Schizosaccharomyces pombe: one gene and its partners. The gene in region 4 interacts genetically with the main gene of each other region. Each region holds a gene or a part of one and is shown on either strand. Other genes may lie near its edges. The genes, in order: res2, rad13, srs2 and nse6.

The links.
Region 1: mutations in nse6 (region 4) and res2 impair growth when combined (synthetic growth defect), as found in Schizosaccharomyces pombe (2 studies listed by BioGRID, with this or other methods).
Region 2: mutations in nse6 (region 4) and rad13 impair growth when combined (synthetic growth defect), as found in Schizosaccharomyces pombe (2 studies listed by BioGRID).
Region 3: mutations in nse6 (region 4) and srs2 impair growth when combined (synthetic growth defect), as found in Schizosaccharomyces pombe (2 studies listed by BioGRID, with this or other methods).

The regions. Positions count from the first base shown.
Region 1 is NC_003424.3:684,919-690,514, reverse strand, and holds res2 (MBF transcription factor complex subunit Res2), read right to left. Parts: upstream 3,981-5,596; 5' UTR 3,923-3,980; coding exon 3,691-3,922; exon of another isoform or gene 3,527-3,690; coding exon 1,785-3,526; 3' UTR 1,336-1,784; downstream 1-1,335. Other genes in the region: ATP-dependent RNA helicase Rok1, read right to left, coding at 1-1,032; glutamate-cysteine ligase Gcs1, read right to left, coding at 4,245-5,596.
Region 2 is NC_003423.3:2,672,053-2,678,929, forward strand, and holds rad13 (DNA repair nuclease Rad13), read right to left. Parts: upstream 4,518-6,877; 5' UTR 4,306-4,517; coding exon 967-4,305; 3' UTR 938-966; downstream 1-937. Other genes in the region: SPOM_SPBC3E7.07C (uncharacterized protein), read right to left, coding at 122-345, 401-455, 499-526, 588-599, 645-692; SPOM_SPBC3E7.09 (Sad1-UNC-like protein), read left to right, coding at 4,565-6,544; methionine aminopeptidase Fma1, read left to right, coding at 6,821-6,877. UniProt on the Schizosaccharomyces pombe protein: Single-stranded DNA endonuclease involved in excision repair of DNA damaged with UV light, bulky adducts, or cross-linking agents. Essential for the incision step of excision-repair.
Region 3 is NC_003424.3:3,830,133-3,836,651, reverse strand, and holds srs2 (UvrD subfamily ATP-dependent DNA helicase), read right to left. Parts: upstream 4,374-6,519; 5' UTR 3,878-4,373; coding exon 3,516-3,877; intron 3,451-3,515; coding exon 3,186-3,450; intron 3,166-3,185; exon of another isoform or gene 3,141-3,165; coding exon 2,710-3,140; exon of another isoform or gene 2,665-2,709; coding exon 1,059-2,664; 3' UTR 1,026-1,058; coding exon of another isoform or gene 980-1,025; 3' UTR 934-979; downstream 1-933. Other genes in the region: SPOM_SPAC4H3.16 (uncharacterized protein), read left to right, coding at 616-685, 726-933, 980-1,025; SPOM_SPAC4H3.04C (uncharacterized protein), read left to right, coding at 4,503-4,636, 4,696-4,877, 4,969-5,582. UniProt on the Schizosaccharomyces pombe protein: ATP-dependent DNA helicase involved in DNA repair at least for UV-induced lesions. Also aids the recombinational repair of camptothecin-induced collapsed replication forks.
Region 4 is NC_003424.3:5,295,549-5,300,579, forward strand, and holds nse6 (Smc5-6 complex non-SMC subunit Nse6), read right to left. Parts: upstream 2,233-5,031; 5' UTR 2,186-2,232; coding exon 617-2,185; 3' UTR 501-616; downstream 1-500. Other genes in the region: vma4 (V-type ATPase V1 subunit E), read left to right, coding at 1-156; protein tyrosine phosphatase Pyp3, read left to right, coding at 3,290-3,577, 3,683-4,306. UniProt on the Schizosaccharomyces pombe protein: Acts in a DNA repair pathway for removal of UV-induced DNA damage that is distinct from classical nucleotide excision repair and in repair of ionizing radiation damage.

The DNA of each region.
Region 1 (5,596 bases), 4.6 Mb from region 4:
TGCTATTAAAACCCAAATTTCACCCTTCCGAAATTTCGCAAGTGCTTCTTCGCGCTTGGCTTGTGGTAATTCTCCATGAATGACACCAACGTGAATTTCATCAAATAAGAGTTCTGTGTACAATGCTTTCGCTCTTTCTATATCTTGAACAAATATTACGACTCGAGGCTTTAACTCTCCATTTGAAATCATTTGACGCAAAATCACAATTTTGGAAGTATCCGAACCAACAAACAAGAGTCTCTGATCGATGCTATCCGTGGCTGCATCTTTCAAACCAACGATGATTCGAATCGGATCAACCGTTACGACTTTAGCTAACTCTTCGACGCGTGATGGAATAGTAGCGGAAAAAAGGCTTTTACAAATATTAGAGCTGGTGCATGCACTTAGAATATGATCAGTTTGTTCAATAAAGCCAGGCTCAAAAAGTCTATCAGCTTCATCCATAACAAAGAATTCTACTTTTTCAAAGGACAATCCGGTTTGTATTGCTTGTACTAATCTCATCGGGGTGCCTATGCACATGTCATACTTTTCCCGGAGCTTGGGCGCTTTTTCTTGAATTTTTTCATTAGATTTACTTAATTCAATTATCTTCAATGAAGTTCCAAAAGACAGCTTTTCTGCCTGTCTATATATTTGCTCGCACAGTTCTCTAGTCGGCGCTACGATAATCGCTCTATATCCACCCGGAACATGTAACTGAAGTTTTTGCAAAATTGGGAATAGATATGCAATAGTTTTTCCAGAACCAGTTGGTGCACATGCCAATAGGTCTCGTTTAGAACCTATCGTTGGAATGGCATATCTTTGAATTGTGGTACATTCTGTTATGTTTTGTTTTTTTAAGTTTTCACAAAGTATTCCTTCCGGAAACTCTTCAATTGGATCAACAGGATTATTACCAGTAACTTTAGCTTTTCCCTTAGTAATACCTTGTAATTTTTTTGCTTCTTTTTCTTTTATAGAAGGTTGAGGTACTTTATTCTTAAATTTGACATTAGTTGTCAAAAGTTTCAACGCATCCATTTCCTTATGCAATACTTAATTATCAAAGTTAAAATATTTTAGTAGATATTTCAACGAAGGAACAAAAATAAAAGATTGTTGAAATTTTCAATTATACATATACACGACTAAAGTAAGTATGGTAGCTGCTGGGGAAAGGCTGCACTAACGTCCTCTAGTTAAACCAGTACGTTAATTCAAATTGTGTATTCCAACAGCGTTATTAAATTTATGTATGCTAAGTAAACATAATAAATGTATTCAAAAAAACGCGATTTCTGCGTTTATAGGTTACATATTTTTATATCGTATTTACGAGAAATACTGCTATAGATTTTCTTTCAATTAAATAATTGATTATTTGTATTAATCACTCTTTTACCTATTTGAACAGGACCCTCAAATTAAAGTGAAGCTCAGTAACTTGGTATCCTTTAGATGATCATTAACGTGCGAATGCAAAAAGGATGAATCATGAATGGAAGCACGCGCTGTAAATGAGATAAATCATTTTACAATAGTAGATTGTTTTAGCTGCGCATAAATAAGTAACATAATAGTTTTGTTAGGAAGGAGCAATATATGTTTTTTCCACTTGATTCCATTCGAAAATAATATATAAAATAACTCGTGTTTTTCTATCAAAGTATGATAACGTTGATAAATGCAGTTTGACAGTGAGTGTCATGGATAAAATCATTAACTATCATAACTCGTATCATTAAATAAAGAACGTAACATTAAGACAAGATGTAAATGAAAGTTTCCAAGATTCATTTTTCTCGGGTTAATGCTTCTTCCACAGCATCGAGTATTTCCAAACTCAAATCTTCAGGGTTGATGCCACAACTCATTGCAATAAGACGACGGTAACTATTAACTGTATCATCAATTCCTAGTTCTTCATACAATTTTCTAATATACAAAGTATCTTTTTTGCGGGAAGCTTGGAGAGAAGTTAACTTATTAATTAATTGCTCATATTCATCAGAATTGGTCACGTTGTTGCAAGCCGGCTTTTTAAAATCGTTATTTAACGAAAGTCCGTCTTCCTTTTTTAAAAAGTCGGAAGGAAAACTAATAGATAATGAAGTATGTGGCTTGAGGCTTCTCTCTAAATCAAAGATTTGTCGTGCTTCCAACCATATTAGTAACCTCTTCGAAAGCTGCTGGTAAGTTTCTTGGGCCTCTCGAATCAAGTTTTCCATAGATTGACTATAAGTGGGGTTATTTTTCTGCAGAAAGGTCAATTCCTGATAAGTTCTGGAAATTTCATTAAGCGTGTCTTGCTTGAGACGATTCGCTCTAATCAAATCTTCTTCTTTTTCTCGAAGCTGAGATTCATACTCCTCTGCTAATTGAGAAAATTTCGAAGATATTGAAGGAATTGCCTTAACAAAAGCATGCGATGAGCATGATGGCGAGATAATAGCAGGGCTTATTCCGGAAAATGAAAAAGCACTATGCGAAGCATTTGAGTTTGACTGTAACAATGAATGTGGCTTTTTGTCAGCTTCCAAAAGATACTCGGAAGCTGTACGTCTTTGTCGGTTAGGAATAGAAGGATTGGCGTTATAACTTAATAAAGAGTTTACACAATCCATGGCTCCATTTCGAGCAGCAATTAATAGAGAGGTATCTCCATTTGAATCTTGTAGATTTACCAATCTCACAACATTTTCAAATGGTTGAATCGATATTAGTTTCTCTAATATGCAATCCAAATAGTATTTGGCCGCTGCAACTTTTGAAGGAGTTGAGGTTGATTGCACAATATGATGAAAAATTGACTGACCATTGGTGTCAACAGCATAAATAGTAGACTGGAGAAGCTCAAGCACTTGTCCAAAAGTTTGGCAGTCATAATTATTGGTAAAGATAACACTCCTCATCAATGGTGTTTGACTCAGTCTGTTACACACGCCAATGTCAGCATTGGCTCTCAGTAATAACTTAATCATCTCTATATGTCCCATTGAGCATGCCCAATGAAGAGAAGTGTGGCCATCATCATCAATAACACTGTTAACTTGAAAATCCGGGGGCGGCGAATACAGGAAGGAAGGAATGCGTCCCTCTTCTGGGTGAAGAAAGAAGTCAAGTAGTGACTCTTCATATTTGTCAAGCGGTGCCTCCAACATGCCTAACTCTTCAACAGGTTTTATAGTGTTATCATTTGGTGATAGCAGTGCATTAGGAGACGCTGGCAGAGGTGTTGCAGAAACTTGCTCCTCTGCACCAGGCAAATTCACTTTATTCATAGATGACTCAATTGTTGGTGATATAGAAGAATTCGGTTGTTTTTCATTGACGGAATGCAAAGTGCTACTAGAAAGTGACGACGGTTTACGGCCTCTACGGCCACGTACAGAAGGCTTTTTCTGCTTGGTCTGCTTCTTCTTTGGAGCAATTGCTTTTCCCTCATCAATGTCAAGACTCAATATTGGGCTCATTATTCCGTCAACCTTATACTTTGTGGCCAGGTCGACCCCACGCTGAAATGGAACCCAAGTTCCTATAGTTTGGTTAATACCGTCAATCATTTAGAGGACGCGTCCATAGAGATATTTAATACAAAAAGGTATTAAAATACCTCGATTTGGCTTAGTAAACACTCAATTGTTCGCGTTGTTCAAAGATAGCAAATCATGTCACAACGCGTAACAGTAGACAACTTACCCTGATATTTTCCATATCCACCTTGTACTTTTTCATGCGCACCAATCTGTACTTGTCTTTCTAAAACCCTTGTCCTTTGTGGTTTGTCAAAGTCAGCCACTTTCAAGATTTGTGTAGCATTCAACCAGGAATCGCGGCGTCTGCGCATCACAGAGACACCTTTAATAAAGCATTCATAGACTTCAACCCCAGAATAAACGGCAACATGTACTGCGGAAGAACGTGGAGCCATTACAGCAAAAGGCAGTTAAAATGCGTAGCGCGGACTCTTAAAAGGGTGCATGCATTGCGTTCGCTCACCCTACCTGCGTATACACATAACAATAGGGAAGGGTGGGGCAATACAGAAAATCAACTATGTAGTTACTGAATATATATTAGCACTAATTAAATAATGAGTATTCACTTAATGAAAGGAATCAATGGGAAGTCTCAGTTGCCAAAGAACTACACTTGTAATACTGAATTGCAAAGGAATTTAAATTACCAAAATTTTAGATATGTTATTAAGTAGAAAAAAATCTTATATATATTCCACTCAGAATTCATCTGCATTATGAGCATTTTCCAAGTAACGTATCGTCGTAGTCGCCATCTACAATTTTTGCTATTCTTCTAATTAAATCATAATTAATTTCGTCGTTGACCACGCTGTCTTGCTTATAAGAAGGATGAGTTGTAATGAAATTGCGTATCCACGAAGCAGCAGTCAAGCATTGGCCATTTGCTCTTTGAGAAATTAGGCGAATATAACGTTCAATTAGGCAAATAGTTTTGGCATCAGGATTACAAGAGTATAAATAGCTTCGAACAATGGTAATTAAACCTGGGAATCCGTTTTCACGGTGCTCACCATTAAATAACTCGTCAATTGTAAGTTGACGGAACTGACCAGATTCATCATCAGTACTTGCGTCAGGAAATGGATTGCAACGGAACCAAAACTTTTTACGATGAATGGCATCACGAGCATGAGCAGCTTTCATGTTTTCATCCACTAGCGATATCGGCATGTACAGATTCAAATTGAAGGATAGAATTGCACGAGAAAGCATCACAACAAAAATTGAATATGCCGCATTTTCAAAATCAGTTATTTGAATTTCCATTGATCTAAATTCTACACGCCAACCAATATCACTACCTGGTGGAGGAGGTTTAAAGCGCATAGATTGCCAGTTAGTTGAGTTTAGGTTCTCAAAATGAGCATTGGATACACTGTTGTCTTGTAAAATGCTGTCACTGAAAATAACCAAAGGATCACGAGAGAATATGTGAGCCATGTGCTTAGCCAATCTTTCATCAATGCAATCTTTTATTAGCTTATCGTAGCAATCTTGATTTATAACGACCGGGACGTCATTATATTCCGGTAAATTGCGCTTGTCATTCGAGATATATAAGTCAACAGAATCATACCTTGATTTTGGCACAGTTTTCATTTCTTCCTCGGTTCGATCATCGACAGCACCAGCAATCACATTCCATCTACAATCTTGATCAGCCAAATAGCCTCGAAATGCTGGAGTTCCGGCAGATAATGCCAGCATCAAGGGGGTAATAGGAGTCAACTGATCGTATAAAAGTCTAGCTTCATCACAACTTTTAGCTTGGAATGTAATTTGTAGACAACAGCATCCCATACCGAAACCCATACTGTCCATGTAAATATGATTGTCTAACGCTGCACCATCTCGTGCATTTGCATCTTCAGGAAACAAATTTCTATCCCAAGGAACGGTAGGATCGTGAAATGGTTTAATTGTATTTTTATCGAAGAAAATCGGAACATTCATGGCCACTTTTCTCCCGCGCCTTTGACGAATATTAGCAGTCAAGGTCGGGAAACGAACATGTGTGTTGATAACATCGTCCGGTAAGAAAAAAGATCGCGAAATTGCACCAT
Region 2 (6,877 bases), on a different chromosome or scaffold from region 4:
AATAAAATAGAACATTAAAATATGGAAATTCATGGATCGCATAAACGATTTTTTTTAAAAAAATGGCACTTAAAAAATGGCCATGTTTCTTAGACCATTAAATTTGATTCCTAGTACATACCAAAAATAGTCGTTTCTTGCTCATACTCATCAGTATTCTTAATACGAAGAAGAGTACCAAAATTGTAATCGTCAACCTTCTTTTCATAGCGCATTAAAAATGGACGCCAGGCAGCTTTTCCTTTGGCGGACTTCATTTCATCCTCATTAACAAAAGAAGCTGTTTTAGGGTCTTTAAACTCGGGGAAGGTGTTTATTAAATCTTCAAAAATCTCATCATCGTATCTATTCAATAGTAAGCAATTTGAACTTTAAATTAAAGATGTAAATATATACTTACTTTGTCAGCTTTAACTCGCTTCCCTTGCGCATTTCCAAAAGACTCCAGTATATTTCTAAATTGTTATTTTTTATTCCATCATATTTTGCTCAACTTACGAGCCTGTTCAACAGCTTTTACTGCAAACTAAAATTTTTTAAATCAGTACATGCTTTACCAAAACTAAATACTTTCTACAACCACGTACCTGCATTTCAATCTAAAATCTGTAAGTATTATTAAATAAATAATAACCAAGGCTTACCTCGGCGGCATTTTCCGCATTTTCCGCATCAATTTTTGTACTTAACATTTCGAAAAATATTCTGTTTCTCCGTTTTTACTTTACTGCTGCTAAGTAGGTTGTAGTAGAAAGTGACATTAGGTAAGGTAACAAAGAGCAAGAAAAATTGTAAATAATCAAAACACGAATAAATCACAAAATATAAGCTATGTTGCTCAATTACTTTGTCTAAACACAGTTACAGCAGGAAAACTCAAAAAAATTTACTCAACAAAAAATTACAGTAACTTCTTTTATAGGAACAACCAGTTAAGTAAACAAATAAATAAATAATTTATTAAACTTATTTTCTTCTTCTTTTGCTGGGTTTTTTTAGTAAGCTAGTACTAAGCTTGGTTTTTCTAGGTAGATTCTCAATAGAAATTGAAGAAGAATTCGTCTTCGGAGTTAAACTTGCTAAAAAGTTATCTTCAGAGTCTGAATCTGAATCAGAGGAATTTTTGCTTGCCATCATTTTCTTCCTTCTAAGAATACGGCTTTGTAGTTCATCTGATCCTTTAGATTCACCAAATGCATCTGCGTCTGCCTGAATTTCTTCACTCATTGGGCTTTGATTGCTAATCTGATTTTTAAAAGATGAAAGAGCATTTTCAAGCCGTTTACTCTTAAAATGGTATGCAACTCTCGGCGCATATACATTAGTATTACCACCTTCAAAAAACTGAGTCAAATTGGACTGTGTACCCACGAATTGCTTTTTATGCATGTCTTGTATAACCGGAAGTAAAACTTCATTAGTTCGTTGTTTTGACCAACCCACAGTAGCCATCAAAAACTGGCGTAACTCGTCAAGGTCGGGTATGCCCCATTGAAACGATTGCTTGCTATCATCCACGGCCGGATGAAGATAAGCTTCATCAACTAACGGATTAGGAAATTCTGATGGTAAAATAATTTTTCCAACCAACTTGTTAATTCTCTTTTTTACTGGCGTATTAACATCATTTTTTGATGCGTGTCCAGTTGATAAACGTTGAAACCATTTTTTAAATTCAAAAAGTCCAGTGTCACCAGGAAATTCATGTAAAATCTCCAGTGCAAGAACTGGACCTACCCTAGAAAGTCCCATAGTATAATCACTTCCCAAAAGATGTGCCAACTTAATTAAATCCATTTGATTCACATTAAATTCTCTTTTCATATCATCCATTAAATAGAGTTCGACAAATTTGTTCTGATTAAACATATTTCGATATACCCGAGTTCCACCAAAAAGAAACACGTCTGAGTCATCAGTAACAATCCCATCAACCAGCTTTAGCTCCAAAAGTTTAGAACACTGGGCTTCTGCTTCTTGAGGAGCAACGATATATGGTAAGCCAAATAAACGCAGAAGTTCTTGACATTCTTTAATCATTACTTGAGTGACCTCATCCGCATCACGTTTTTCAGACCTTTTTTGATTTTTGAGCTCTTTCAACCTTTTTTCAAAGGCCTCTTGATTCCACTCTTCAGTTTCATGTCGTTGATTGAGTTCTGAAACAAACCGATCATATTCCTTTTCTTCTTCTGCCATCCTGATAATCATTTCCTCTTCTTCCTCATCTAAAAGTTTTTCAACCACTTCAGGCTCTACTTTCGAACTCAAGGCAGCAGCTCCTTTATTTGGAGAGGCTTCTTTTTGAAAGTCAGTTGGAATGCTAAGTGAAGGGCTGCTGGTCTCTAAAGTAGGAAGAACAGCGTCAATTGATTCGGATTTGATATCCCCAGTATCCTTAGCATTTTCGGAGCTCAATAAATACACTGACATGGCCTTATCACTAGAAACATTTAATGGGTTGGTAACTGTGCCATCATCAGCTTGTTCTTTCATATTCTCAAAGGGTTCCAAAGGATTGAGTTCACGTAAGTCTAAATCTTTTTCATCATCTTTTACCGGAAGAAGAGGTGAAATAATTGGATTTTCAATTCCAGGTTTAGCAGCGTCTAAATCGGATTCAATATTAACTGTTGCATTAATAGTATGTAAATTTGTATCTTCCACAAGTTTAGAATTATCCGGTGCCTCACTTGGTATATCAGTTTTAGAATCCATAAATGTTTCAGTTGGTTTCTTTAATTTCTCGAAAAAAATAGACTTTCCCCAATCCATAGGCTGAAAAGGTAAAGGATCAATTAAATCATTGGTTTTTTTCTCTCTACTCGCAGATGGAAGGGCATCCATAAAAATTGAAGTCCCATTTTCAGGATGCTTTTTTTCCGCGAATGCTAATGAATCATTGGAAACATCTCCAACATGTTCAAGTTTCAAATTTTCCTCGTCGTTAAGAAGTGAATTCATTGAATCCTCTGCAGGAATATCGGTCGACAAAATTTCAAACGTCTTTTTCTCGCTATTCAACTTATCAAACTCAGAAGCCGAAAGACTAAACAGCTCTTTTGATTTTTTGTTTTCCTCTAGAGATTGCTGGGTTGCTAATTGAAGTATTAAATCATCAGTAACATTATAATCTGCTTCATCTGATTGCTGATTTTCCGAAAATGAATTTTCTTTTATTTCCTTTAATTTAGCGGCTACCAATTCTCTAGGGTTCATGCTATGAGATCGGCTAGGTAAAGGCACATCGTAGAATGCCTCATCCTCGTCTTCGTCTATAAGATTGCTGCTAAGTTTTGTAGCCTCATCATCAATAATAATAGGTTCATTGTTTGTAGATCCTGAGATAACACCGAGAGCCCATCCACCTTCAGCACCTTCGTTTTTTACTAAAATATATTCTCGGTTTTTTTCACTTACTACTCTAGAGGGTCCAAACTCATTCATTCCAGTAAAGTCCATTAATCTCTGAGTTAAATCGTTACGTTCCTTCAGTCTCTCAATTTGAAAACGAGAGAAATCCATTCTATTAGGAAACATCTCGGAAAGTTGTTCAGAGCTTAAACCCATTCGTAAACGAGAGCGTAATCTTGCTGCACTTAAAATACTATATTTATCCGTATCGGGTAATGATTGAAATAATTCAGAGTCAAAATCAATATTTGAAAAATCAAATAAATTTATATCTTCAATTTTAGTAAAACTAGAGACATATTGTGTAAGCTCATCCTGGGACATAATTCGAGGGTCGTAACTCGACCCTAACTTATCAAACGAAACGTCCATTTCAGGTAGTTGGTATGGATCAGGCTTCAAATAATTTTTTCTTTGATTAAGTACTGGCTTAATTTCTGAATTATCCAATGTCATAGATGAAGGCATTTGTCTCTCATTTTGAACCGAGGCATTTGCCAATGCAGTAGCTTTTTTATTATTTTCCTCTAAAAGCATTGCCTGATGCCTCATTTGCAAAGCCAGAAGTTTATTGGCCGTGACCGTGGCATTTTCCTCCCTGTCGAGTCTTCTGGCTTGTCTTTTTTGGATAGTTTGGCGTTTCAATGACGGCGCTCCTCCATCAAAAACAAATACAGGTTTAATCCCAAAAAATAATAGTTTGCATATCCTTCTAAAAAATCCTACAACATGACTGCTTTTCAGCTGGTTTCCTTCTTTGTCACGTACGGCCTTTAAGAATTGATAAATCCAAATTGAAGCGTCAATTGCCAACCGTTTGTTAACAAGTGTTTCTAGCTTGACAGGCCTTTTTACCGGTTCTAAAATATCCCAAAGACCTGAAACCCCCATTGCAAAATATTATATGCGATGTCAAGAAGTTTCGTTGTAGACGACTTTATTTTTGATTATTATACGAAGAAATGTGATTAAAGCAAGCCTTTTTCTTTACCCTTTTTCTTCTTTTTTAATTAAAATCGTTATAAAAGACATGTTTTACCAACAAAGCGATAAAACAAGGGCATGTGCGATGATTGATGCTAACACTTTAGTGTGTGGCACTTGACTTGAGCCAATTACCACATTAAACTGATAGGGCTGCCTAAATCATATGGTCAAAAGAAGATTGTCTGCATTTGGAAATGCCTTTTTAATTTATTTTATTATATTTCGGTTATGCTGCTGCTCTCCACAAACGAGTCATTGGTGTAAATATCCGGCATTGTGTTTGAAGTCACCAGATACGCATAACGAAAATTTGGTATGTGATGCGTACCTTTCTGTGATTGCTACCAAATCTGAAGAAAAAGAAGCTAGCAACCCTACAACATGGGATTTCACTCCCACAAATAAGTACCAGGAACCTTCGTTTCACACAAAAACGAGTTTGAATGGAAGTGATACCATTTCTTCTAATTTTTTGTCAAAATATGAATATTCCAATGGAACAAGTACTAGCGAATTTATAGATTCAATTAGCCCACCATTGGTGAACGAGACGTCTACAATTTCATCCTCAAAGAAGCTAGAGCAAAACTATTCTGTAACGGAAGTTATTGATACTAATATTATTACTAGTTCTTCGGTTACTCTACCAATTTCTGAGGATGGTTCCTCTACTTCAGCAGCAGCTACAATTGATTCAAATATAGATGAAAAGACTGTTGCATTCTCAGAAGAAAAAAGATTCAACTTTGCTTCAACTGACTGCGCTGCTGCTGTCATTAAAACAAATCCTGAAGCAGTCGGATCTTCTTCGATTCTGACCGAAAACAAAGACAAATATATGCTGAACAAATGTTCCGCTGAAAACAAGTTCGTGGTAATTGAACTTTGTGAGGATATTTATGTCGATACAGTTCAAATTGCCAACTTCGAATTTTTTTCAAGTATATTTCGTGATTTCAAGGTCAGTGTAAGCGGTAAATATCCAAAATACGAGTCTTCTTGGATGGAATTGGGTACATTTACGGCCTTAAACCTAAGGACTCTTCAATCTTTTCATATTGAGAACCCTCTTATTTGGGCGAAGTATCTTAAAATAGAGTTTTTAACTCATTATGGGTCAGAATTTTATTGTCCTGTAAGCCTACTTAGGGTTTATGGAAAAACTATGATAGAAGAATTTGAAGAAGCAAATGAAGACTTCTTAGAACAAAAAGTGAACGACGGAAGCGCTATTAAAGCAGATGAAATCCGGAAGCCTCAAGAAAGTCCTATTTTTGTGGACGAAGAAGATACCGATGTTCAAAGCAAACCAGTGAGAAAGAATCCATCAGTCGAGTTGAATAGTACAGACACCTTACTTTCTTCTACTGTGATATCTAAGTCTTTGAGCACTGTTGTTATAGGAAATGAAACAGGAAAAAGTGAATCATATCCTGCAACATCAACTCGCTCTTTTAACGATATTTCTCCATCTTCTTCATCTTCTTACAGTACCGCTCAAATATCTACCTTTCCTTCTAATCAGGAAAGCATTTACAAAAACATAAATAAGCGTCTTTCTACCTTAGAAGAACGGAAGAAGGCATTTGATGAAATTGTAGAAAAAATATTAACAAATTATGGTAAGCACAATGCCAAAAACATGAATTTTACGCAGCTATTACATGAATTGAACTCGACCCTTCAATTAGAAATTTCGAAATTGTCGAAAAGTGTCGTTAAGCCGTCTTTGTTTGCTCTCCAAGCTAAACTTGAGCTTCTTTCTGCAGAAAATGAATACTTTCAGAGTCAAATTACTTCACTATATCAAGAATCATCTTTTCAAAAGCGACTTTTAATGCTTCAACTCACGGTTCTAATCGTTTTAACAGTGTATATGGCCGTATCGAGGCTTCCAGAAAATCTGCCAACAACCCGTTCATCTTCAAACAACCCTATTGAGGCTTCAAGACCACCTTTTTCACGTGACGAGCAAGATATTTCGAAGGCCAACGATTTTCGCGTTAGCGCTTCCTCAGCGGTTTATACCGTTGGACCTGAACTACTGCAAAGAAAAAAGCGAGATCCAAATACCAGCATACGCAGTATACACGAAAGAGAACAAGATAAAATTATACATTCTAGGAGCCATTCAGTATGCTAATCATAGAATGTATTGTGAAACTTCCATATTTTTTCATAAGTTAATGATTTAAATTCATATTAAAATTAGAAAAATGAATTATTTATTTAAAAACTGAAAAGCATATATTAAAGTTATTTTTTTAGTTTTGCAAAAATCATAACTTTAAAGAGTGGCATTGGGTTATATAGGTTCCAACGACATTAATGTACTTCACGGCTACGAAGCACTAGTGTGACTAGAAATTCTCGAGTCTAGAAACTAAGGCGAGTGATACCCTTAAGACAAAGTATTTATATGGCTACTGAAATTGCAAAACATATTTGTTGCGGTATAGATTGTAATAATGAAGCT
Region 3 (6,519 bases), 1.5 Mb from region 4:
TCCTTTCTCATAGAATATCTAGGAGGATTGTCTGCAAATCTATGTAGAACATCTGTATCTCCTCGGCTTTGACATGGCTTTCTATGGTTTATACTGTTCATATCTGCACATTCACATTTGTTTATCGTATACTCAAATCAGACATCAGAAAGACTTCTTTATTTCAGTGAATCCTTCCTGATTTCATACTTCAGCCTTTGAAGGTATGACCCATGAATTTCAATGAGCTGGACAAGGCATTTCGAAGGAGCACTTACTGATAAATGTAAAAACATTAAGAAAATATTACTCAATTTAAGTTTAAATGAGCCTTAATCTAGCTATATTTGCTTTACCTTAACACATTCATTTCAGCAATTTCATTTTGACTTACGAAATGTATTAATAAGGACGATTTGTATTTTTTTCGAATATATACAGGGTTCAAAAATGCATTTAGTGCTATATTTTGACAAGAAGTATCGCCTATTTGACCATTCCTGTACAGTCCATTAGACCATGCACTAGCCATCTAGTCCGCGTTCCACAAAAACAAAACAACACCTCGATAAGGCTTTAAGAGGGTAGAACAACGTGTCACATTTTTTTGAAACTCGAAGTATCCGAGATTTAGCTATGAAAAGATGTCGTTCTGAACATGTTCCTAGTAGGTTACCAAGAAAGAAGTGTAAAAATCATTTGGATAGTAAGTGAAGAATTTAGCGATTTTTTACTAAGCTTCTAAGTGAGATCTTTTCTTAGTTTGTTTGCAAGCAAAAAAAGTAATGCCCATGATGCCTCTTCTATCGTTTTAAATGAAAAGGTTAATTTTGTTACTGACAATGACCATCTGCCTTCATCTACCGGTGTTTGCGAATTTTGTGATAACGTATTATATCTTTCTACATGTGATCGCTGCCAACGAAATATTTGTCGAAACTGTAGTACTCTAATGTAAGTTTATTATCTGTATCTATTTTCAAGCTGACATTATATGTAGGTATTTTAAAGAAAACACCGTAGCAAGGTGTTTAGATTGTCTATAAATATAATACGTGATTTTGTACAACATGATATGACTATAACATTCGTGAAACTCGTAGCCTTACACCCAATCGTTTTCTCGAACCAGCAGGACGGGCACTCGCGACCTTAGTATTTGATTGATTAAGGTCAGTATGTTGCACAACATCTTGGTGACCTTCCCTCAACGTTCTATTTATTACCTGATCTTTCGTAGAAGGACCTCTACCAAGATTTTGTCTGACGCTGCTCATGAAAGAAGCGTTTGTCGTTGAGGCTCTTGTCGATACAATACGATTGACAGTTTCAAAACTTCGATCATTTAAATCTTTATTTGCAACCATTATGCTTGCGGACCTTGACGGCTCAGAAATCTCTACATCTGAATCGATTGGTTGTTTTTTCTCAAACCAACTTCGTATATCGGTTTTCGATCTCTTGGCATTATGTTTTCTAAAATTTGTTTCATCTTTATTATAGTCATTGACACTTTTGACTCGTTCTCTCTTTTTCAATTCTGCCTCAGCTAGAACACGACAGCATTGGAAGCCCAAGTTTTCGAATTTAGTTCCGTTATGATTTGCATTTGAACCAATACCGCTTAAATTAGTTATTTTCCCATAAGATTTCCGACCCAATATGGTTCCAATTTCAGAAGCAATCTTTTCATTAAAAACTATTTCACTTTCCATCACCCATCTTTTCATTTCTTCTCCTTTTAAAAATGGACTGACGTCCTGTACATTGTCTGAGTTCTGCATATCTGCAAACATTCCAGTGACGCTTTTAAAGGAAGATAGATACAGTAGCGCCTGTGCACGTGTGGCACCGACATATAGCAGCCTTCTTTCCTCGTCGAGGTCGTCTGAACGAGAATGAGGGATAATATTTTCACAAAGACAAGGTAAAAATACAACAGGCCACTCTAAACCCTTAGCTGCGTGAAGGGTTGAAATGGTAACCTTCTGAGATTCGCCCTCTTTCTGTTCTTCATTCACAAGAGCGATTTGAGTCAAAAAATTCTGCAATAGAACAATTGTTGATATTTTGTAATCTAATTCATAGAATATACAAGATATGTTATCGCTTTGTTGTACAAGCTCCATTACATTTTCCCATTTTTCTTCGACAGTTTCTTTATTTTTCCGAACCAGGTATTCGTAATATTTAATCTCAGAAAGTATTCCCAAAAGTAAATCACTAAGAGTTGCTGAGTGCCCATTAGACAAGTAACGATTTTCAAGTTTGGAGATTGAACAAAGAAAAGACTTTAAAGACTTTAGAAAACTCTTGTCATTTCTTTGAGAAAGTAAAATATTTTCATTCTTTACTTCATTTAAAGTTTGCCAAAAGGTCAATCCTCTTCTTTCACTTTCGAAAATAATACGGTCGATTTTTGTTTTGCCAATATTTCTAGGAGGGACATTGATGACACGAATTAAAGAAGTCGAATCTTTGTTAGCTAGGACTCTCAAGTAAGCTATTAAGTCTCGAATCTCTTCTCTATCAAAAAACTTGTTAACTCCAACCATGCGGTAGGGCACACCAAGTTCGGAAAGTGCATGTTCTAAACTTCTTGTAAGGCTGGAGGACCTTACAAGGATTGCGATATCGTTATAAAATATAAGCTCTGGACAAGAACCTACTATACGTTTAATTTCTCTAAAGAATCGTTAGTAAACTTTCATGCAATGAAGCCATACGAACCTTGCGATCCAGTAAGATTCTTTATTGTTAGTTTCAAACAATCGGTAATGAGGCTTTAAGGAAGAGATGTGATTACTTTTGAGCCCCTTCTTAGGCCTGCTTTTGTCCTGTGAAATGATAGACAGTGCTAATTCAAGTATAGGTTTAGCTGAACGGTAATTTCTTTCCAAATGAAGCACTTGGGTACCTTCAAAGTCTTCAGACATTTGGTTTAAGTTCCTAATTTCAGCACTTCGAAATCCATAGATTGATTGATCGGGATCGCCAACAATCGTGATATCTGAATTTTGCAATGCCAAAAGCTTAACAAGAAAATATTGGATTTTGCTAGTATCTTGAAATTCATCGATTAAAATATGTTTTATATTCCTCACACAATCTGGTTGCTTTTGAAGTAATAAAATAAAGTTTAAAAGCAAATCATCAAAATCCTAAATAGTTAGATATATACATACAACTTTATGCTTGTTACGTACCGCTAAATTGTTCTTCCATAAGGAAGTTTGATAAAGTCTATACAATTCAACAGATTGATGGCTTTGAAGCTCTTTAGGTGGTTCTTCCAGACCATTAATCAAACTCAACTGATCCATTCCAGGTTTAACAAGAAGACCGTTGGACTTTAATTTAGTTATGCGATTTAGAGCATTCTGAGGAGTCAATTCTTGTCCTCTAATACCAGAAGCAATCGGATTTTTAGCTTTCTTGAGAGAGTCTAAAAGTCGCTTCATAATAGCTTGACTAAATAGATCAGCAATGGTTGAAAGTGGAGAAGTAAAAGTTAGAAAAGTGTAAACAAGACATACGTATCATTTCTGTCAGCAATCAACCAATTTGAGGATAGCCCTATATGCTTGCCATATTTAACCAAATACTTGTACGCTATAGAATGAAACGTCCCAGAAATAAGCTTAGAGGCTTCACTATTCCCCAAAATAGCTTCAATTCTGAGCTTTATTTCATTTGCGGCTTTGTTCGTAAAGGTGGCTATAATTAAATCTTCGGCTGCAATATGGTTCTTTTGAAGTAAATAGGCTACTCGAGCGGTAAGAACACGGGTTTTTCCAGACCCAGGACCGGCTAAAATTTGAGTATACTTATGAGGACTCTGAACACTAATCCTTTGTTCTTCATTCAGAAACTTCAAGTATGATGATTTCGTTTCCATAATTGAGAAGAACAAAACACTCAACCGACAGCTTCAAATGTATATTTTAAAAAAGTGAGAAATAGGAAAACAATGCAAAGATTTTTGGCCAAACACGGTCTTTTCCGATGAGTTGTCGGGTAATAAATATTAAATTGTGAAACGATGACACGTCAAACTAAGAAAATTAACAAATACTTATTATTTTAACGAAAGCATAGCATAGGTGAAATAATTTAGAAGATCAACCCTTATTTAGTTGAAAACAACACTTGCAATTTCTTAGTATTCTCGATTGACCTACCAGCGCGAAAGGGCTGATACACGGATACGAAAAAGATTTTAATCCACCTGTTTTTACTACAAGAAATTTGAGTAAATCGTGAACGTATAACAAATGAAAGCCTTTCAATTCAGTATTCTTAAGTAATGATTTTATTGTGTGAAAACCTGATTTTGCGATTGTCTTAGTCTTGTGTTTCGACCTCCCAAAAGTGGTGTTAGTGCAGCAAAACGCAAATGATGAAGGCAAGAAAGCAAGATATATGTAACAGTGTGTTGTTCAGAAAATAATACCCATTGTCAAACGAACATCACAAACCGAATTACAATTTGAACGTATCAATATTATTCTTCAATTTATCTCATGTCACAAGCCATTCGTGAAGCAACTCATGCAGGATCTTGGTATTTGGATGATACAGAATTACTAACTAAGCAATTAAAATCATTTATCAAAAACCCAACGCCCGAGACTGGGAAACGGTTTGTCATTTCACCGTACGTATAGACAACTTATAATTTATGTGATATTCAGTATATAGCTAAATATTGAGCAGACATGCTGGTTACATGTATAGTGGGAAAGTCGCATCCCAAGGATTTCAGCAATTGGACTTTTCGAAAATTCAGAGAGTTTTTGTTTTTGGGCCTTCTCATCACATCTTTACTAGAAAATGCCTAGTCAGTCGAGCTAGCATCTGCTCAACACCTTTAGGTGATTTGAAAGTGGATGAAGACTGTATGTGAAAACAGTTTTGCTTAGTAGTTTTACTAAATTGCTACTGTCTATTTCTCAGCACAGATTATTTGCTAACTGGAAATTTATATAGTATGTCAGAAACTCGTCGCTAGCGATAACAGCTTCGACTCAATGACCTTGGATGTGGATGAAAGTGAACATAGCCTCGAAATGCAATTCCCTCTTTTAGCTTTTCATTTGCTGAAACAAGGATGCTTGGGAAAAGTCAAAATTGTTCCTATCATGATAGGTGCCTTAACTTCAACCACAATGATGGCAGCAGCGAAATTTCTGAGTCAGTATATTAAAGATGAATCAAATTCATTTGTTATATCTTCCGATTTTTGTCATTGGGGAAGAAGATTTGGATATACCCTTTATTTGAACGATACGAATCAATTAGAGGATGCAGTCTTAAAATACAAAAGACGAGGTGGCCCCACTAGTCCCAAAATTTATGAGTCTATATCTAATTTGGATCATATTGGTATGAAAATTATTGAAACGAAAAGTAGTGATGACTTTTCAGAGTATTTGAAAACCACTCAAAACACCATATGCGGCCGTTACCCTATAGAACTCATTATGAAATCTATGGAATGCGCCAATTTCTCTGAAAGATTCAAGTTTATTTCGTACGCTCAAAGTAGCCATGTTGAATTGGTCACCGATAGCAGCGTTAGCTATGCAACCGCAACCGCATAGTATTGTTGATATTTTATTATTATTTTTTTCATGACTTGAAACGGCTGATGCGAAACGATCATATATTTAAGTATTTGAGAGCCGAAAATTATCGGAACATGTATTATGCAACCTGTGTTTGTTAGTTATTATCATCAGATTCATACTCAGGAGGCTAATTTTGCAATGCTTTTTCTGATCTAGGCAAATTACGATAAATGAAATGCGCTTTATTTCTCAATTGCAACATTTACGAAACATACCCTTTTCCATTTATATAATTTTTTTGTTTTCTGTATGTATCAATTGGTCTCTCTTGAGAATTAATCAATTTTTAAATCTTTCTACTATGTATAAAACTACTGTTTTTGATATTCTGAACAAATTTCTTTTACACGATTAGTAACGAAAACATTATTATATTATCAAAGTCAATTCATGCATGTGCATAACCTTCTAAACTAGTATGCTTTCCAGCTTTGCTTGAAAATTATACAGCCTCAACGAGTTCAAGACAAAATTTCAATACAAAAATTTCATGTTTAACAATAAATTAACACAAAAACAAACAAAAAAAAAATGAATAAAAGGAAGCCTACAGCACCCCGGATTCCCATGTTGTCTCCAACCATAGTACTAACGAGGCCCTCAGACGCTTAACTGCAGTGATCGGACGGGAACTGGTGTTTTCGCCTAGGTATGGCCGTAGACATTTGTTGTATAAATTACTTTTATTTAAACGTTTAAGAAGTACCGTATAGTGTCTACCGGCAGAGTATTTTCTCAGCCCTGAGATTACTGATTCTCAAGATAGTATACAAAGAATTAATATTCATCAATTAAGTTAGAAAAATTTCAACCTAGTTATTAATACTTAAAACTAACCATATCTTTGGTTAAGAATTTTATATACGGAACCCATCTGATAGAGCGTATGAGTTAGCTATATACGTCGGAC
Region 4 (5,031 bases):
TCTGTGCTTGGAGGTGTCGTTTTAGTAGGTTTGGGTGGTAAAATTCGTGTTGATAACACTTTGCGTGCTCGCTTAGAGATTGTGAAGGAAGAAGCCCTTCCTGAAATTAGACGTCTTCTCTTCGGTGAAAATCCTAACCGAAAGTTCGATAATTAAATTTTGAGATATCGTCATTTGTTTCTTTCATGACATTAATTTCTTTTGCTTTATCTTATAATCTTTCTCAAGTTCATTTAAAGCATTTATCTATAACTTGTTTCAAATTTTTGCTTCATCCAAGTATTTAATGCTTCAGGCTAAATGATCGCAAGTTCGGCTTCCATTGTTTTCTTAAATGTGGATTGTGTATGATTTCTGCTGATTCTTATCATAAATTATTCCCATAGCTGCTTTCTATTAATCAAGTGGATACAATATCTTTCAATGGATGCTAAGTTTTGACTATCGTAAAAGATGGTAACTTCTTTCTTCTTTTCTGTCCATTTGTAATTCCAAGGGAATTATAATAAGTAACTTTCTTTTAAATTAAACTATGGATTTCTTAGTTAGAAAGTATTATACAATTTGTTGAATTTGCGCCAGCACTGAAATTAATATTAATAAATACACTGATTGTTTATCTTTTGTACGCTTGCCGTTTATTTTTCTTTTTTCCCTTCTTCACCTTTTTAGCTGAAAAGCTTTTGTTTTCTTTCATCGATAAGTTAGAAGTTTTATCCTTGAAATACCTGTCCTTTTGTTTATTATTATTGGGCAAGTCACTTTCAATAATCCTCTCCAATTCTGGTGCTGAGTTTGTATTTAAATAGTAAAGCACCATAAAAAGTCTATGTATGCAATCTTTAACTTCACATCTCGATAGTAGCAAATGGTCTGTTGAACCAGATATTGTTAAATCTATTTTTCGTAATTTTTCCAGTAAGCACTCTAAGCGCTCATTAGTTTTAAAATGCTTTTCATCCACCGCATATCCGAAGGTACGAATCTGGTACAATAAAGTTGTATAGTCATTATTACAGGAAGCGGAAATTTCATCTAGTCGTTGACATAAAGAAGAAAAGTCTGAATCATCATTTTTACTTTGTTTCCCAACAAATAATGTAAAAGCAATCTTCTTTCTGAATTTTTGGCAGGAACGAGACAAAGAAGATAGTATTGTAACCCAAACTCTAGGACTTTCAGACACCTTATGAATATTACTGATCAAAAAATCTGGATTCAATGATATTGGAAGTTCCATGAATTGAGAAAATTGCCATTTACAAAATGAGCCCACTTGATTGTCAATTAAGATTCGACATGCATCCTGAATCATTTCAAAGCGAACAGTGTCGTCGGAGAACCGATACAAAGTTCCACAGCATTTTAGGAAATTAATTACCTTAATTTTCAAATTGCTTTTTAAATTTTCTGAGGCTGACGTACGTTCCAACTGGATTGGTACCTGTCGTTTCGCTAAATCAATGCCAATCATATCTGCAGTAGTCTCAAAAATAAATCGTACAATTTGGTTGAGATTATTAGAGCTGCTTTTATAGCTATAAAAAATCTTTTCTAGGTTAGCAATCCATTCAGAGCATGTTGTGTCTCCTAAAGAGCGGAAAAATTGCAAGCTGCATATTGACAATGCAATATCTAAGGGGACCAATTTTGCCGATAATAAATCACCAAAAGTTGTTGGTATAATTCCTTCATTAAACTCCAAATCGTTATCTTTCAAGCATTCTGCTTTCAGGGTGTTCCAGTCTGGAACACGAGCTTTTGAATTGCTACAATATTCGTACCTAAGGTCGTCATCATAAATAGGGTTAGAACGTAGAACATTCAAAACATTTGATCCAACACTTTTTCCTATTAATTCATCAATTTCATCTCCCGTTTGAAAGGTTTGAGTGCTGTCATATTGCAATAAATTTTGTACTGCTAATTTTCTTCTTTTTGCAACCGAATCGTCAATTGTAGCAGTACTAGAAAGAAGATCAATATTCCATCTGTATGTAGATGAATTAGAAGAATCATTTTTCAAATACTGTTTTCGCGATTGGGCTCTTGCCGAAGGCACCAAAGAAGAGATATCAGGAAGCTCGTCCAACTCTTCAGAATCATCACTATCAAGTATGTGGTCAATTAATTTTGAAGAATTATCTAAATCAGGAAATTTTGAAATGTTATTAGACGCATTCATAGAACTATACCAGCAAAGACACTTTTGATGTGCTTTGGTAAAAGGGTGGATGGATATATAACAAAAATTATGAAATAGTAAATAGTGGAAAGTAAACGTTTATAATTTAATTATATAGCATTATAGTTTGACGACGATTGTTTTTTTGTTGTTTATAGTCTCATTTCATCCAATTTGAGCATTCCAAGCAAATAATATTAAACATCGAGTAAATTATTGATTTTCTTATTAAATGAATAATTTGTTAGTTTATAGCATTTCAACTGCTATTACCGGAGAAATCATAAACATATCCAAGCTGGCTTCGTTGATGTTTACATATGACTTTTCTTAAGCGAACATTCAAAAAAAAAGAATAGAAAAAACCTGTCATAAGCTTTTGTTAACAATTAATGATTTTTACTAATTCTGAGTTAAAGTTATTGGAAACCTTAGAAGAAAGAACACCTAAAACCAATTTAGGCACGTTTTCATTCAAAGAAATCTTTACAAATTACATTAAAACCAAAGAAGCCAAGTAAGGGAGTCAAACGAGTCAAACACAACTCCTAAAGAACAATGGCGACATTCAAACAGGCATTTAATGAAACAATTGCTGAGCAAGTATTATAATACTTGGCCTTATATAAGAAACGTCAAAACTTTTCTCTACACTTTAAATATTTTTGTTTTTGAAAGTAAAAGTATAGCAGATCGATTAAGTCCTTGGAGAGAACATAAGTGCGTTTAAATCATTTTATTCACTATCATCAATACAGTTGTTTACAACCTATAAAAGTATCCCACATATAGCTTGTTCTTCATACTACCGGCTTCGTAAAGGTTCGAGTTACCCCCACATAGACATTCGCAAATACTCTGGGCCTAGTCCTACGAAGTGAATGTGAACGTGAACTAGATTACGACTACAACTAGAAACTAGCGCTATGTGGGGGCCGTACAATGATGATTTATTAAACAATTATACTTCTCTTTTTTACTGACTTCTGTCATGGTTTTAGGAATCATTTAAAGTCGTTTAGTAGAAATTATTCTTTCTTTTTGATAGACACAAAAAAATACTTCGGTGAGAAGTTTAAAAGCGAATAAACGCAAAAAATCAATATGTCTTTTAAAGAAGTATCTACAGAAAATGGTGTTCTAACACCCTTGATCACAATAAAAGAAAAAGCGTACATGATTATTGAGGGACTCAATGAGGAAGAGATAGAGCTGTTAAATACTAGGTTGCCAAAGCTAAGTAAGAAAGCGCTGGCTAGAAACCGATACTCCAACATAGTCCCTTATGAAAATACTCGTGTTCGTTTAGATCCAATGTGGAAAGAAGCATGTGATTACATTAATGCTTCCATAGTAAAAATCCCTTCTGGGAAAACATTTATCGCTACTCAGGTTAGGAATAAAAAGAAATTGCGGGATTGTAAACGGCTTTGGCCTTTTTTCTTTTCATCATTTTTTGTAACATAATTACTAACTTAGTCTTCTTTATTTATATAGGGTCCAACGTCGAACAGTATTGATGTTTTTTGGAAGATGGTCTGGCAATCTGTGCCAAAATCAGGCATCATCGTTATGCTTACCAAATTGAGGGAACGCCATCGTCTGAAATGTGATATCTATTGGCCAGTGGAACTGTTTGAGACACTTAATATCGGTGATTTAAGCGTTATTTTGGTAAAAGTTTATACTTTGACATCATTAAATGAAGTTCAAGTTCGTGAATTTGAGCTGAACAAGGACGGGGTCAAGAAAAAAATTTTGCATTTTTACTATAACGGTTGGCCTGACTTTGGTGCACCACATACCTTCTCACTACTATCACTGACTCGCTATATAAAAAGTCTCTCATATTCTCCGGACTTTGAAACAGCACCCATTATAGTCCATTGTTCAGCGGGTTGTGGCAGAACGGGAACTTTCATGGCGTTATTTGAGATTTTATCTCAAACAGATGACTCTACTTCAACTTCGAAATTTGAGGTGGATAATATCGCAAATATAGTTTCCAGTCTTCGGTCACAAAGAATGCAATCTGTTCAATCGGTCGATCAGCTTGTTTTTCTTTATACAGTATCTCAAGAGCTGCTTCAAGGGAAGGAATTTCTTCTTCCTCAGTTATAGCCTTTGGTTTAGAGTTTGCTGATAGTCGATTCGATGTTAAAAACTCGTCTCATGAATTTTCGAATTAACATTATATTATTTATAAGAGGATCTTCTTTTTTTTATTCAAAATTTATTTTATTTGTCTAGCACGTTTTATTTCTTTGATATCCAGTTTTTGGACCGCTAATGATTAAAAATGATTTCAATTACTTTATATGGCACTATTTCTTTAGAGACCTATAAAATGATCAATAAAACGTAAATATGAATACTATTTTTATTTTTTATCTTATCGAAGGTTCAAAAGTCATCTATTGTTATAATTCGTAATGACAAACACAACTATCTCCAAAATATTATAGGTCGTCAATGTTTGTAGCAGTTCATCCTTTGTGATTCATTTATAGATTTTTTATACAAGGCGCTTTTAATTTATTAAAGAATTTACAATAATTTGCTGCATGGAATAAAATTGACAAAGAAGTAACCACGAATTTAAATGTTCATCGCAAAAAAGTTGAATGAACGCTTTGGCAATTCTTTTAATTTTCTTGACCACGTACCATTTGACGTGCAAACTATTAGTACTTTGGCATATAGTGAAGCTGGGTATCTGTGGTTATTGATATTAATACTGTTTAGTACATATAAAAACCTTGTCAAGTATGAAATTCAACTTTCCCATTTATTCCATTACATATCATATAAATTGCTATAAAAATAATAAACAAACAATAAACTTC